Elephas maximus indicus: one gene and its partner. Each later gene encodes a partner of the first gene's protein in a complex. Links are inferred from orthologs where the notes say so. Each region holds a gene or a part of one and is shown on either strand. Other genes may lie near its edges.

The links. Proteins that work in one complex are often made in the same cells at the same time.
Region 2: the proteins of MMP10 (region 1) and TIMP2 are in contact, whole or in part, in a crystal structure (PDB 4ILW), measured with the Homo sapiens proteins. The link is inferred for Elephas maximus indicus from reciprocal best matches to the Homo sapiens genes MMP10 and TIMP2. Residues at the interface, in NP_002416.1 of Homo sapiens: Glu155, Asp169, Phe170, Tyr171, Ser172, Pro176, Gly177, His178, Ser179, Leu180, Ala181, His182, Ala183, Tyr184, Pro185, Pro188, Gly189, Leu190, Tyr191, Val214, His217, Glu218, His221, His227, Pro237, Leu238, Tyr239, Phe242; in NP_003246.1 of Homo sapiens: Cys27, Ser28, Cys29, Ser30, Pro31, Val32, Gln36, Ala37, Asn40, Ser57, Gly58, Asn59, Asp60, Tyr62, Asn64, Pro65, Ile66, Lys67, Arg68, Thr91, Ala92, Pro93, Ser94, Ser95, Ala96, Val97, Cys98, His123, Leu126, Cys127.

What each region holds. Positions count from the first base shown.
Region 1 is NC_064825.1:17,872,768-17,879,843, reverse strand, and holds the start of MMP10 (stromelysin-2), read right to left. Parts: upstream 3,012-7,076; 5' UTR 2,976-3,011; coding exon 2,865-2,975; intron 2,089-2,864; coding exon 1,844-2,088; intron 1,746-1,843; coding exon 1,600-1,745; intron 1,479-1,599; coding exon 1,353-1,478; intron 1-1,352. UniProt on the Homo sapiens protein: Can degrade fibronectin, gelatins of type I, III, IV, and V; weakly collagens III, IV, and V. Activates procollagenase.
Region 2 is NC_064837.1:68,805,112-68,812,169, reverse strand, and holds the start of TIMP2 (metalloproteinase inhibitor 2), read left to right. Parts: upstream 1-4,043; 5' UTR 4,044-4,347; coding exon 4,348-4,477; intron 4,478-7,058. UniProt on the Homo sapiens protein: Complexes with metalloproteinases (such as collagenases) and irreversibly inactivates them by binding to their catalytic zinc cofactor. Known to act on MMP-1, MMP-2, MMP-3, MMP-7, MMP-8, MMP-9, MMP-10, MMP-13, MMP-14, MMP-15, MMP-16 and MMP-19.

The sequences.
Region 1 (7,076 bases):
TAACTTAGTTATTGTAAAATTGAATGGTGCTTATTATAGTGTGCCTGGTGGGGCACGAAAGAAATGCAGACATTTTATGAAGTTCTTCAATAAGGATTAGGACAAAGAGTGCTTCTCGTTACCACTCAGCTAATTAGAAATTTTAGTTACTTAGGATGTTCCATTTACTGCTCTATCTGGATAAACAAATTCTTCTGGGATAGGTGTTAGGTGCTGTTGAGTCAGTTCCAACTCATAGACACTATGTACAACAGAATGAAACACTGTCCAGTCCTGTACAATCCTTACAATCTTTGCTACACCTGAGCCCATCGTTGCAGCCACTGTGCCAGTTCATCTCGTTGAGGGTCTTCCTCTCTTTCACTGACCCTCTACATTACCAAGCATGATGTCCTTCTCCAGGGACTGACTGGTCCCTCCTGATAACATGTCCAAAGTACTTGAGACAAAGTCTCACCAACTTTACTGCCAAGGAGCACTCTAGCTGTACTTCTTCCAAGACTGACTTTTTCATTCTTCTGGCAGGCCATGGTATATTCAGTATTCTTTGCCAACACCATACTTGAAAGGCATCAATTCTTACTCAGTCTTCCTTAATCGTTGTCCTGCTTTTGTATGCATATGAGGCAATTGAAAATACCATGGCTTGGATCGGGCACACCATAGTCCTCAAAGGGATGTTTTTGCTTTTCAACACTTTCAAGAGATCTTTTGCAGCAGATTTGCCCAATGCAATATGTTGCTTGATTTCTTGACTGTTGCTTCCATGGTGTTCATTGTGGATCCAAGTAAAGTATAAAACCTTAGCCACTTCAATATTTCCTCCAGTTATCATGATGGAGCTTATTACGGTTGTGAGGATTTTTGTCTTCTTTATATTGAGGTATAATCCATACTGAAGGCTGAAGTCTTTGCTCTTCATTGGTAAGTGCTTTGAGCCCTTTTCCCTTTCCACAAGCAAAATTTGTCATCTGCATGTTGAAAGTTTTTAATGAGTCTTCCTCAAATCCTGATGCCATGTTCTTCTTCATGAAGTTTTTTGGGTTATTTGCTCAGCATACAGATTAAATAAGTACAGTGAAAGGATACACCCCTGATGCATGCCCTTCCTGATTTTAAACCACACAGTATCCCCTTAACCTGTTCTGATGGCTGCCTCTTGGCCTATGTGCAGGTTCCTCATGAGCACGATTAAGTGTTCTGGAATTCCCTTTCTTTGCAATGTTATCCATAATTTGTTATGATTCACACAGTCAAATGCCTTTGCGTAGTCAATAAAACACAGGTATACATCTATCTTGGATAGAGATGGGCATTATTTCTGAAATCATTTTGAGAGAGTTATGACCCACCTGTTTTATCCTCTGTCCATCGTTCATCATCATCGAAGTGAACATCTCCATTTATCCCTGGCCCAGGTGCATAGGCGTGAGCCACAGTGGCTCCAGGTCCATCAAAAGGGAAAAAGTCCCCATGTTCTAACAGGGAAAATGATTTTTTTATTGGAGAGATGAATAATTAGGATTTCTTTTTAATTTTTCCAAAAAAAAACCTGATACATGGATATATTTCATGTTTTTAAAAATAATTATTATTTACCTCTGACAGCAAAGGAGATCATTATGTCAGCCTCTCCATTATTCCTGGAGAATGTGAGAGGAGTCACCTCCTCCCAGACTTTCAGAGCTTTCTCAATGGCGGCATCAACAGCATCTCTTGGCAGATCCAGTGTATAATTCACAATCCTGTAAAAGAAAAATAGAAGGTAACATTTTCTCCTGTGACAGTAATTTACAGAGTATAATCTTATAATCTTATGTGAAAACCTATAAGTAAAAATTACCTGTAAGTAAGGTGAGTCTTCCTCCACTTTGGTGAGCTAGGAAAGGTAGTGAATTGACCGACATCGGGGACTCCACATCTGGGCTTGCGCATCACCTCCAGGGTGTTGGAGTCCAGCTTCCCCGTCACCTCCAACCCAAGGAACTTCTGCATTTCTTGAATTTTTCTAACCATAGGGCTGCTGTCCTTTCTTCTTACAAACTGTTTCACATCTTTTGCAAGGTCATAGTATTTTTCTAGATATTGCTTATGAAAAAATAAGCATAGATTTTAGGTAATTTTTACAGTTGCCTGAATGTCACAATTTAATTATTCTCTAGTTTATTGAAACCAAAGCAAACAGCACACTTAATTTGATTTTTCATGAAGACTCCTGATTTCATTATTTTATCTTTGTACTAAGTTTTAAATTTCATTGCAATTTAATCTGCTAGCCAAGTAAAGAATTTGAAGTTGAGAATTTAGATCCAACCTGTTTAAAAAAGAGAAACATAATTGTATGCATACTTTGAGCATGTCTAACTTTTTCCACTTTACGTTGTTAATATAAACCTGGTCAAGACTAAATGGGACAAATTCTTGTGTCCAAACATGACAACCAACGATATAAACATTATTACTTGGTATCATTGCAAGACTAAAATTCACATGTTCTCCCCACCCTGCTATTATTTTAACTAAGGAAATTCTAAAATCAGTTTTTCAGAAGCTTTCCATTTATTCTCTTCACTTAGTCCTGAAGCTGCCTGTAATATTTTATTGTGTGACCTTAAGTAATTATCTCTTCTTCCTGGGCCTCTTTTTCATTTTCTGTTAAAATGAAGGGACTTCCACTTCTAGCACTTTAATCTCCCTGATCCTAAGTTATCCCAACATAATAACCCCCAATCGAATCATTCTGCTTACAGCTGACTTTGAGTCTGGCTGTAATCCCCTCCTCCTCTGATTATCAAGCTGAAACAAACACACTTGTCTCTCCACTTGGACTGACCAGGGGCGTCATGGCCCCCACCATTAATTACCTGGACGAGATCCATGTTTGAATCCTCCTTCACTGCCCCAGCCAGTGGATAGGCCAAGCAAATTGGCAGACATAACAGCACAAGGACGACAAGGTGCCTCATTCTCACCATTTTCACCAAAGGAAAACACCTTCTGTGACTACTGGCTTCTCTCTCTACCTGCTAGTGGCTGGACTTATATAGGGCGACAAGGCTTATATCATCATGTGTGTTTGGTGACTAAGGTGTGTGTGTGCTCTTTCTTTTTTTTTTTTTTTTATCTGAATGAAACCGGAAAGGGTCACCAGAATTCAACAGGAAGATGATACAGACTCTATCAGTAATTTCCCTTGAACTTCGAAATGCACAAGAGAATGATTAATTTCTAGGAAGTGGCTTCTGTGTTTATGAAGTGGAAAAAGAAACTACTAGATCATTCATGTTTATGTGTTTATTGGTAAAAAGTCAAAAGTTCAGACCTTTCTAAATCTGTTCAGGTTTTTTTTAGGAATAGTTTATTTTAAGCTCAAATATAAGTGGGTTAGGAAAAAGTAGTTGAACGGAAGGAAATTCCAAATATAATTGTGGTCTAAATATGGAAACTTATCTCTAGGAGGATATTAGGAGAGGTATTTCATTTTTTGAGTCCTTGTTTAAAGCAGTTATTACAAGTTTCCAGATGGATTTACTGGCCCTGGAGGAGGAACACCGTGAGAAGGGAGTGGGCCATGGAAAAGAGGGTCTGTAGAGGAAGGAAGAATCACACCGATTCGTCTTTGGTTTTCATTCATTGTCCATTTCAGAATAAATGATATGCTCTTTGTAACTGCTTGATAAAAACTTGTCAAATTGCATATTAGAATGAAATGTTCCTCCTACCTTCCTCTTCTTTGTTGCTTTAAAAAAACCTTTTTATCTTCTTTTCCTCCTACTAAAGGACAAAGAGGAGATGGATTGAAATTTGTGAAGGGGAATAATTTCAAATACTCCTTTTCCGTCACATATCTAACCATCTACTCCTGTCCATCAATAGCATTTTCTCTCTTTTTTTCCCCTCAGCCGAGTGCTTTCACATTGTAAGTCTGGGATAACATTTTTGTCAAATTAATCTATTAATATAAAAGACAGTAAAATTCTTTTAAGATAGAATTATCTTTCTTTTTCCTCACTAAAGATAAATGAACTCTACCATACCTGGAATATGCAAAGGAATAGGAGACTGAATTTATGGGTGTGCAGGCATGATCCCATCAGCACCACCAACTATCTTCACCCTACTTGAGATTGACTAGACAAGATGGAAACTTCAGGAACCTGGAGGCTCTAAAACCTTGCACCAGAATTGGAAAGAAATCTGGATGGGCACTGATCGGCCCATGTCAACCTGTGGCTTAATATAGCCAAGGGTTTGCTCTATAGTGTGGTGCAGTGGAAGGAACCTCAGCTTGAAAACAGAGGGAAAGGGGCTTACAGCCAGACTCAAAGTCAGCTGGATGGCTTTGAGCAAATATACAAAAATTGTTTTGGGAACATTTTATTAGCTTTAGGTGAAAGTTTACACAGCAAATTAGTTTCCCATTCAATAAATAAGACACAGATTGTTCCTGACATTTGGTAGCAATCCCCACAATACGTCAGCACTCTCCCCATTTCCATCCATGTCAGGGAACCTTCACTCCATATCACTCCGTGTTTGCTGGCTTGGTTCTTCTTCCAAATGTTGTTTGAATTCTTTACCATTCTTTTTGATGTTCAGGGTTCAAGGATTGTCATCTGCATCTTTTTTATTTGGTTTCTCGTGTCTTTGCTGTACAGGGATGGCATAATGTGTTTGACTAAGTTGCCATCTTTAGGTTAAATATATCTAATTTCTGAAGGACATTGTTCTTTCATCTATAAAAATGGTTTATAAGAATTACATGATATGTTACATATAAATTGTCCTTCGCTTAGCCAGTGTTCCATAAATATTAGTCCTTTAACTTCCCATATGGATTCTCTTTTTTGCTTTCTTTCTCCCATAGTTTTCTAGAAAAGATTTGAGGGATTTCACTCAGTGCACAACACAGTGGTATGCAAAGTGTGGGCTGTAGGAGTGGTCCATGCTGGGTAGAGGCAATGAGAGAGAGTATCAGCCATAAAGAATTTAAAACAATAATAAGCCAAAAAACCAAATCCATCGCTGTCAAGTGATTCAACTCATAGTGACCCTATAGAACAGAGTAGAATGGCCTCATAGGGCTTTCAAGAAGCAACTGATGGATTTGAATTGTGGACCTTTTGGTTAACAGCCATGACACTTAATCGCTGTGCCACTAGGGCTCCAAAAATAAGGGCAATTAAAATTTGGTCTGTTTTACAGGGCAAATGAAATATAAACAATTAGTGATAAAAACAACAAAAGGGGAGGAGAGGATTGGTATAGATATAGAATTTCCTGTATATTATTTAAGATGGCACCAACTTACCTAGAATGTTATAAATACAAGTTCTTATATACAATATTCAGAGTAACCAGTAAGAAAATATATTTAAAAAAATACACAAAAGGAAAGGAGAAGGGAAACAAATAGACTCACTACAATAAACCAACAAAACACAAAAAGCAAGCACTAAAGGACAAAGACAAAGAAGGCTTAAGACATTCAGAAAACAAAAAAACAAAACGACGTAAGTTACCTCTCATCAACAATTACAGTGAATGCAAATGGTCTAAATGCTCTAATCAAAAGGTTGACAGTGGCTGAGTGGATTTAAAAAAAAAAAAGGTATGTTGTTTACAAGAGCCACAATCCAAGGACATAAGCAGTTTGAAAGTGAATGATGCAGGAAGAATCAAAAGAACCTGAAAGGATGGAAGGAATACACAGGGTCACCGTACCAAAAAGTATTGATCGATGTTCAACCATTTCAGGAGGTAGCATACGATCAAGACCTGAGGGTGCTGGAGCAAGAAGTCCCAGCTGCACTGAAAGCACTGGCGGAAAACAAGGTTCCAAGAATTGACAGAATACCAACTGAGATGTAGCAACAAATGAATACAGTGCTGGAGGTGCTCACTCATCTATGCCAAGAAATTTGGAAGATAACTACCTGGCCAATCAACTGGAAGAGATCCATATTTGTGTCCATTCCAAAGAAAGGTGTCAAACGTAATTTTAGAACAATATTGTTAATATCACACGCAAGTTAAATTTTGCTGAAGATCATTCAAAAGCTCTTGTAGCAATACCTCAACAGGGAACTGCCAGAAATTCAAGCCAGATTGAGAAGAGGACGTGGAAGGGTGATATCATTGCTGATGTCAGATGGATCTTGGCTGAAAGCAGAGAATACCAGAGAGATGTTCACCTGTGTTTTATTGACTATGCAAAAGCACTCGTCATTCATAAAAAATTATGGAAACGTTGGCAAGAATGGAAATTTCAGACCACTTAATTGTGTTCATGAGGAACAGACCAAGAGGCAGTTATTTGAACAGAACAAGGGGATACCGCCTGGTTTAAAATCAGGAAAGGTGTGAGTCAGGGTTATCTCCTTTCATCATACTTATTCAATAAATATGCTGAGCATATAATCATAGAAGCTGGACTATATGAAGAAGAACACAGCATAAAGATTGGAGGAAGACTCATTAACAACCTGCAATATGCAGATGACACAACCTTGTTTGTTGAAAGGAGGACATGAAGCACTTACCAATGAAGATAAAAGATCGCAGCCTTCGCTATGGATTACACCTCAACATAAAGAAAACAAGAATCCTCTCAACTGGACCAATAAGCAACATCATGAGAAATGGCGAACACATTGAACCTGTCAAGGTTTTCATTTTACTCGGGTTCACAAGCAACACCAACGGAAGCAGCAGTCAAGAAATCAAACAACATATTGCACTGGGAAAATCTACTGCAAAAGACCTATTTTAAGTGATAAAAAAGCAAAGACATCACTTTGAGTACTAAGGTGTGCCTGACCAAGCAACAGTATTTTAAATCACCTCATATGCATGTGAAAGCTAGACAATGAATAAGGAGGACCAAAGAAGAATTGATACCTTTGAATTATGGTATTGGCAAAGAATATTGAATATACTATGGACTGCAGGAAGAATGAACAAATCTGTATTGGAAGAAGTACAGCCAGAATGTTCCTTAGAAACAAAGATGGCAACACGTTGTCTCACATACTTTGGACATATTATCAAGAGGGACGAGTCCCTGAAGAAAGCCA
Region 2 (7,058 bases), on another chromosome or scaffold:
GGGCCCTTACTATGTTCTAAGGTCCTTAGGTGGGGTAAACCATTTACGCTAGGTTACTAACCGAAAGGTTGGTGGTTTGAACCCATCCAGCAGCACTGAGGAAGAAAGGCCTGGTGACCTGCTTCTGTAAAGATTACAACCGAGAAAGCTCAATGGAGCAGTTCAACTTTGAAACACACGGAGCTGCCATGAGCTGGAGTCAGCTCTATGGCAACGTGTTTAGTTTTTGGTTTTTTACTATGTTCTAGGAGTCCCTGAGTGGTATAAACAGTTAATATGCTCAGCTGCTAAGCCAAAGGTTGGAGATTTGAGTCCACCCAAAAGTGCCTCGGAAGAAAGGCCTGGCAATCTACTTCTGAAAAATCAGTCACTGAAAACTCCATTGTCATGGATTGAATCGTGTCCCCAAAATATGTGTCAACTTGGTTAGGCCGTGATTCCCAGTATCGTGATTGTCCTCCTTTCTGTGATTTTTTTTTTTTTTTTTATTGTGCTTTAAGTCCTTTTGTGATTTTCTTATGTGTTATAAATCATACTCTCTGCCTGTGGTTAAGGAGGATTAGGGTGGGATGGAACACTCTTGCTCAGGTCACATCCCTGATCCAGTGTAAAGGGGGTTTCCCTGGGGTGTGCCCTGCACCACCTTTTATGTTACAAGAGATGAAAACAAAAGGAAGCAAGCAGATAGTGGGGGACCTCATACCACCAAGAAAGAAGCACCGGAAGCAGAGCAAGTCTTTTGGACCTGGGGTTCCTGCGTGGAGAAGTTCCTAAAACAGGGGAAGATTGATGACAAGGACCTTCCTCCAGATGTGACAGAGAGAGAAAGCCTTCCCTTGGAGCCCACGCCCTGAACTTGGACTTGTAGCCTACTAGACTGTGGGAGAATCAATTTCTGCTTGTTGAAGCCATCCACTTGTGGTATTTCTGTTATAGCGGCAGCAGGTGACTAGGACATCTGTGGAACACAGTTCTCTGACACACATGGGGTCACCATGAGTCGGGGGTCAACTTGACAGCAACTTTTTTTTTTTTTTATCCTTTAGGCCTGGGGATACAAAAAAAAAAAAAAACGAAACCAACAGTAATTTTCTCTCACTCCCCTCCCACCCCCCAGAACTTATATGCTAGTGGTGGTGGTGGTGGGATGGGGAATAGACAACAAATAAAATAAAAAGTCAAATACAGGGCCTAGTAGGTGGTGATGGAAACGCCGGGCAGTAAAAAGGGTGGAATGCGAGGACAAGGTGGGTAGTAATTTGAATAAGGTTGGTCAGGAAAGGCCCTGCTGCAGGTGACCTCCTAGCAAAGGGGTGATGAGGAAGTAGCCACGGAGGCTTCGCTGGGCGCTGTCCTGACTTGGTTTCATTCCGAAAGACATGGGAGTCACCACTGGGCTTTGAGGGGAGGGGAGACATTTTCAAAGCCCCCCACGCCCTGGGGCACTCTGTTGAGAATTGACTATAGGGCCAAGGTGGAACCCGGGGCCAGCAGAGGAGGTGTGATAGCAGGAAGTGGGGAGAAGGGAGGGATTGCAGAGGTGTGGCCGGCAGATGAAGGGTGGGGAGCAAGAGAGGAGCTAGAGGAGCCCCTGGCTCCTACGAGGGCACCTAGGCAATGGAGGTACCGTGCCTGGGTTCCTGAGCCAGGGAGGCGCAGCAGTGGGTTTGGTGAAAAGAACACGAGGTAGGGTTGGACACGTGAGATGCAGAAATAAATGTGGCCCAGGAACCCAGAGTGGGCACTCAGCTCTGGCCACACTGGGGAGACCAGAAGGAGCCGCAAAGGAGGCTGGGGAGGGGTGTGGGCAGCCAGGTGTGCTGGCAGAGGACGAAGTCCTGAAAGCATGGGAGGGCAGGTCTAGGAGGATGGCGTGATCCGCCTCGCCAAGTGCTGTTGGTACATCAAGTACCGTGTACCCTCAGGTGGGATTCTGGTACCCATGACCTCCGCGGAGAGCAATTTGGAGCCAGAATGGAGTGGGATTGAGAGAAGGGAGGAGAACTGGAAACTTCGAGTCTAGCCGCTTATCTGCAAGAGATTTATGCAGAGGGACGCTGAAAAACGGGGCGCTCTGGCGGGGGCAGTTAGCAGTGGGGTCCAAAGATGTTTGTTTAGCTCTTGCCGGGAGATACTCCAGCCTGTTTGTGTGCTGGTGGGATGGTTCGGTGGGAGGGACACCCTGAGGCAGGTGGGTAGCTGTGGGGCTGGGGGACCTGGTCTCCATGGAGAGGTCAGCCCCAACCAAGCAGCCACCCAGGCCCTTCAGTGCCTCTGCTGTGCAGGCCGAGAGGCCCCACTCCTGTTTTGCACCATCCAGCCTGCCTCTAAGGTGCTGACCACGCTAACACAGACTTGATCACTTGCATTTACATCTTGGCTAAAAGCCTGGGAACTCCTTAAGTTATCTGCTTCTCTTATAGGCTGACCAATTGATTCTAGATTCCGTAAAGCTCTCCAGCATTTCTTCCACTTAGAACGCAAAAGAAAAGAGGGAAGGAAGAAATAGAGCGCTTATGAGCAGCCGAAGTGTAATAATTTTCTGAATTACCTCTAGAAATTTAGCATCAAATATTTTGTGAACGATGCAGCTATATTTTATGCTAACAGAAGCTGAAAAAGTGACTTTGGATTTGTAAGGGTGCTAAAAAACAACTACCCTGCATACTAACTTTTCTCCAAATTGCCTGTTTGAAAGCACACACAATCAAAAAGGCAACATTTTTCCATTCTTCCAATATTTCCCTAGGTTCCATGTCTCCAGTCAGCACCACTCAATTGCGCAGGCCCTTACTGTTTAATTGGGTCGTTTTCTGGGTTGACGTCTCCTTTGCCAGATTACAAACGTCCTGAGGGCAGGAAAGACATCCTGTAGAACAGCTCAGCACCCTCTGCACACAGTGGGGTGCACAGAGGGGGTGCAGAGGCTGGTCACAGAAGGGGTATACAGAGGGGGTGCACAGAGGTGGGTCACAGAGAGGGGCAGACGGGGGTGCACAGAGAGGGTGTCAGAGGGGGTGCATAGATGGGGTGCAGAGATGAGTGCACAGAGAGGGTATACAGAGGGGGCACAGAGGTGACTGCACAGAGGGGGTGCAGAGGGGGGTGCAAAGTGGAGGTGCAGAGAGGTGTGCACAGAGGGGGTACAGGGCAGGTTCAGTGGCAGATAGACAGGGACCCTGTCCCCATTGTCTACACAGCCATCCACACTTGACATGTTGTCCACACCTTCGAGTTCCTCGCCTTTCCTAGAACTTAGAACTGTTCTGGGAAAAGTTCTTTTCAGTTCCAAAATATGTGGGTTAAGGGAGGGAGCCATGAGCAGAGCAGCAGCTGCCTTCCAGGCGATCCTACTGGCTCCTGGGCTCCTGAGCCCACCCCCTGCCCTTGTTGGCTGGTCAAAAATATGGCCAGTTTATGTAAAATCCTGTTTTGTTCACAGTAACCACTCCCCCCTCGCCCAACTAAACTAGCCAAGCACAGTTAAAATTCTGAAGCCTCCATTGGAAAAAGGAGCCCTAGTACGTTTCTCCAAGGCCACCCACCCACAGAGGGTACAGGAGGGGCGGCAGGGATGACCCCTATTCCAAAGGGCATGTCCCCTTTGCTCCATTTGGTGGCTCCAAATGTCCAAGGGGTCCCAAAGGTGGCTGGGGTCAGGCAGTGGATCCTGGCACCAAGCTGGAGGGGAGGGGTGGTCGGTGGGCTGCCTGGTGCCCTTGAGCCACCGACCTTGGAGCCCTAAGTGCTGAGTCAGGCCCCCCGGGCGCTGCCCGCCACCGAGGAGGCCACCCCAACCTCAGGCGATTTGGGGGGCTGCCCCGGGGAGGAGCGGCCCCCCGCAGTGGGAAGCTAGGTGGGCAGCGGGCTGGCCCAGGCCGGGGCTGCGGCCAGTGGCGCAGGAGGGCCCAGAGGTGCCAGGCTGAGCGCAACAAAAGCCGGGGTTTTGGTGAGGGCCGGGCGGCGCGGAGGAGGGGGCTGCTGGGAGCCCGCGCTGCACTGGCCGCCAGCCACCGGGAGGAGGAGCAGAGGCTCCTCGAGCTCAGTAAAACGCCCGCGCGACCGAGCCCGCACCACACGGTCGGTGGAAGGCAGAGCGAGCCGAGCCGGAGCCAGGCTGCGGCGCCCGCCCGCTCTCTCCTCCGCGCGGGAAAGCGCCCGGCCGGCCCAGCCGCGCCCGGACAAAGCGCATAAAGTTTGCGCGGCGCGGGGCCCGGTGCGGAGGGTGCGCCGCCCGTGGGCCCAGTGCCCGGCCGCGCGAGCCTACCCCGGCTCGGCCCGCGCCCCGAGGACGCCCAGAGGCGGCGCAGCGCAGCCCGGCCGAGCCGCGCAAGCAGCCGGCCCGCCATGGGCGCCGCGGCCCGCAGTCTGCGCCTGGCGCTCGGCCTCCTGCTACTGGTGGCGCCGCTCCGCCCGGCCGACGCCTGCAGCTGCTCCCCGGTGCACCCGCAACAGGCGTTTTGCAATGCAGATGTAGGTAAGGAGCAGCATTCGCGGCCCCGCGCGGCCCCACCGCCCCCTTGGGGACCCCGCGCCCTCCCCCAGGGCCCTCGCCTCCTCTGGAATCCTGCAAGTTGACGCCAAACCCTACTTTCTTTTTCCCTTTCCTTCGTGCCCTTTCTTTCCCTTGCTTCGCCGAGACGTTTCTCGACCTCAAAATTCCACCGAAATCCCAGCGGGGCTCCAACCCGGGATCAGGGAGCCAGGGAACGATCGGGCTTTGGCAGGCGGCGCGCCCTCGGATGCCAGTGCTGGGGCGGGGAAGGGGGGCACAGCGCTGGGTGGGGGTGGGGGGATCCACCTCGGTGGGCTGGAGGGGTGGGCACCCTCAGAAAAACTTTCCAGGTGAGGTGGAATTGGGCTCCCCTGGGCTTGGGGCTGGGCGAGGAAGGACATCTGGCCTGGCCTTCGCCCAACAGCCCATTTGGGGTTGGCCTGATTAAGGGGGTTGAGGGATGGAAGCCCCCCTACTGGGGCAGGTTGCTGGAACCCAGAGAGGCCATGGAGACCCTCAGTAGGGCCCCGTGGGCTGGCTTTTTGCCCTGTACGGGGCTCCACAAACAGGCCTGGGCAGGGAGGGGGACCCCCTGGCGCTTTACCCCTTGTGACTGTTTTTTCAGGACATCTATCCAAACGGAAGACTTAGGTCACTGCAGGGGTGGGTGGGGCTGGTTTGGCTGCTTTAACTCCCCAGCAAATATCTTGCCCTCAGGGCTCCTTGTCCCCAGGCGATGGGAGGGAGGAAGAGACACAAAGCTGGGCAGTGCAGGTTCCAGCTCTGATGCTCACAGGCCTCTCTGGCCTTGGGGCTGTTAGCCAAGGGGGTATTTTTTTCCTGGGCCATTCAGTTTAACCAAAACAACAAATACCCAGCAGATGGACCTCTGCAGCCCCTCAGCCTTCCCCATGGGGTTATTTTTGCTCCTCAGCCTCACCAAGCCCAGCATCCTGACACAAGGCCAGGTGCTTGGGGCAGGCCCCTCATGGCCAGACTCAAGCGAGCCTCTCCCTGTTGCCCCTGTGTTCAGCAATGCTCCCCATCCTCAGACCCCACCCGGCTCCTGGTTGCACCCGGTTGCCCTTGGGCTGCCCTGCTGCCCAGGTGGGAAGTTTTCAGTGCTCCTACCCGTGGGAAGGTATGGCCCAGGGCACCTGGGCTTGGGTGTGTGAGTGGCTGGAGAGGAGTTTCCAGAAAATCCGACTTAGGGGCAGTGAGGGCTTTGGTGCTCAGCAAGATATGGTGAAGCACGAGAGAATCTTCTCATTGGGAAACCAGGTGGGCTTCCTGCAGGGAAAGAGAGGGAGTACCTCCTTCCCACCCACCCTGCAGAGCAGCCAGGCAGGCAGGGGTAGGCTCAGGAGGACCCACACGGCTCCTTAGTCTCAAGGGCTCATTCTCAGGCACCCACTGGGAAGGAGCTGGACCACGGCCGCACCCATCATCCTGGCTCCCTGCCCCTTCCCACTGACCGCCTAGTTGTAAGGTGGCTGCAGGTGAGGCTGGTGGCTGTTTCTGCTTTGGGTTGGCATCAAAGACTTCAAAGATCAGGGAGCTTCAATATGCCCTGAGGCAACTTCTCATTTTCTGAATGTCTCCCATCTGCCTGGATTTCCTGGCATTTGCGTCTCAGGCATTGCAGGGAAGTCATCGAATAGCCCAAGTTTTTAACCCCACCTCAGCTCGTAGGTCCAGGCAGGGCTCAGAGCCACACGCCACAGCCCGAGTTGCCCCCCTTGCACCACATTTCCTTCACCCGCGGACGGCTTGGGGTACAGAGCAGGGCACCCCCTCAAAAAACCAGCCGCCGTTGAGTTGATTCTGACTCACAGTGACCCCTCGTGTGTCGGAGTAAAACCATGGGATTTTCAGTGGCTGATTTTTCAGGAGTAGATTGCCAGGCCTTCCAAGACGCCTCTGGGTGGACTCAAACCTCCAGCCTTTCAGTTAGCAGCCTAGGGCATTAATGATTTGCACCACCCAGGGACTCTGAGGACATCGCAGATTAAGGTTATTACGAGCCAGGCCCCTGAGGGGCTCTCAGATAAAGCCAACAGTGAAATAATGGTTCCCCACCTTGGCTGAGAGCCGGATTGCCCGGGGGGCTTTTAAAACCTGCACAGGCCTGGGTCCCTCTGTATAAGATGCCAGTACAGAAGGTCTGGCCCAGGACCTAGGCTTTTGTGCTTTTAAAAGCCCCCACGCCCCCAGGTGTTTCAGTGCAGCCAGAGGCCTGGGAGAAGGGCGGTGGCCTGGCACCTGTGTCGGGTTAATAAGAGGCTGACTTTTCTCTGGCATGCTTGCTCCTTTTATTGTTGGTAGATGCAGACTTTGTAATGGTCTGCTGTCTGCAAGAGACAATTGACTTAAGATACTCAGATTTCTCTTTAATGAAACAATCCTGCCCATGGGAAGATTCCTGGGAGCTCTCTCCTGGGCTCTTGCTGATGGTAAGATTGGAACCGTGGTCAGCAAAAAGGTTCGTTATGAGGTTATAAACATAGTGTGGAGGTGATCTGGTCTCCCCGAAGGCCCCAGCTCCCTGACCTTTCCAGCAAAG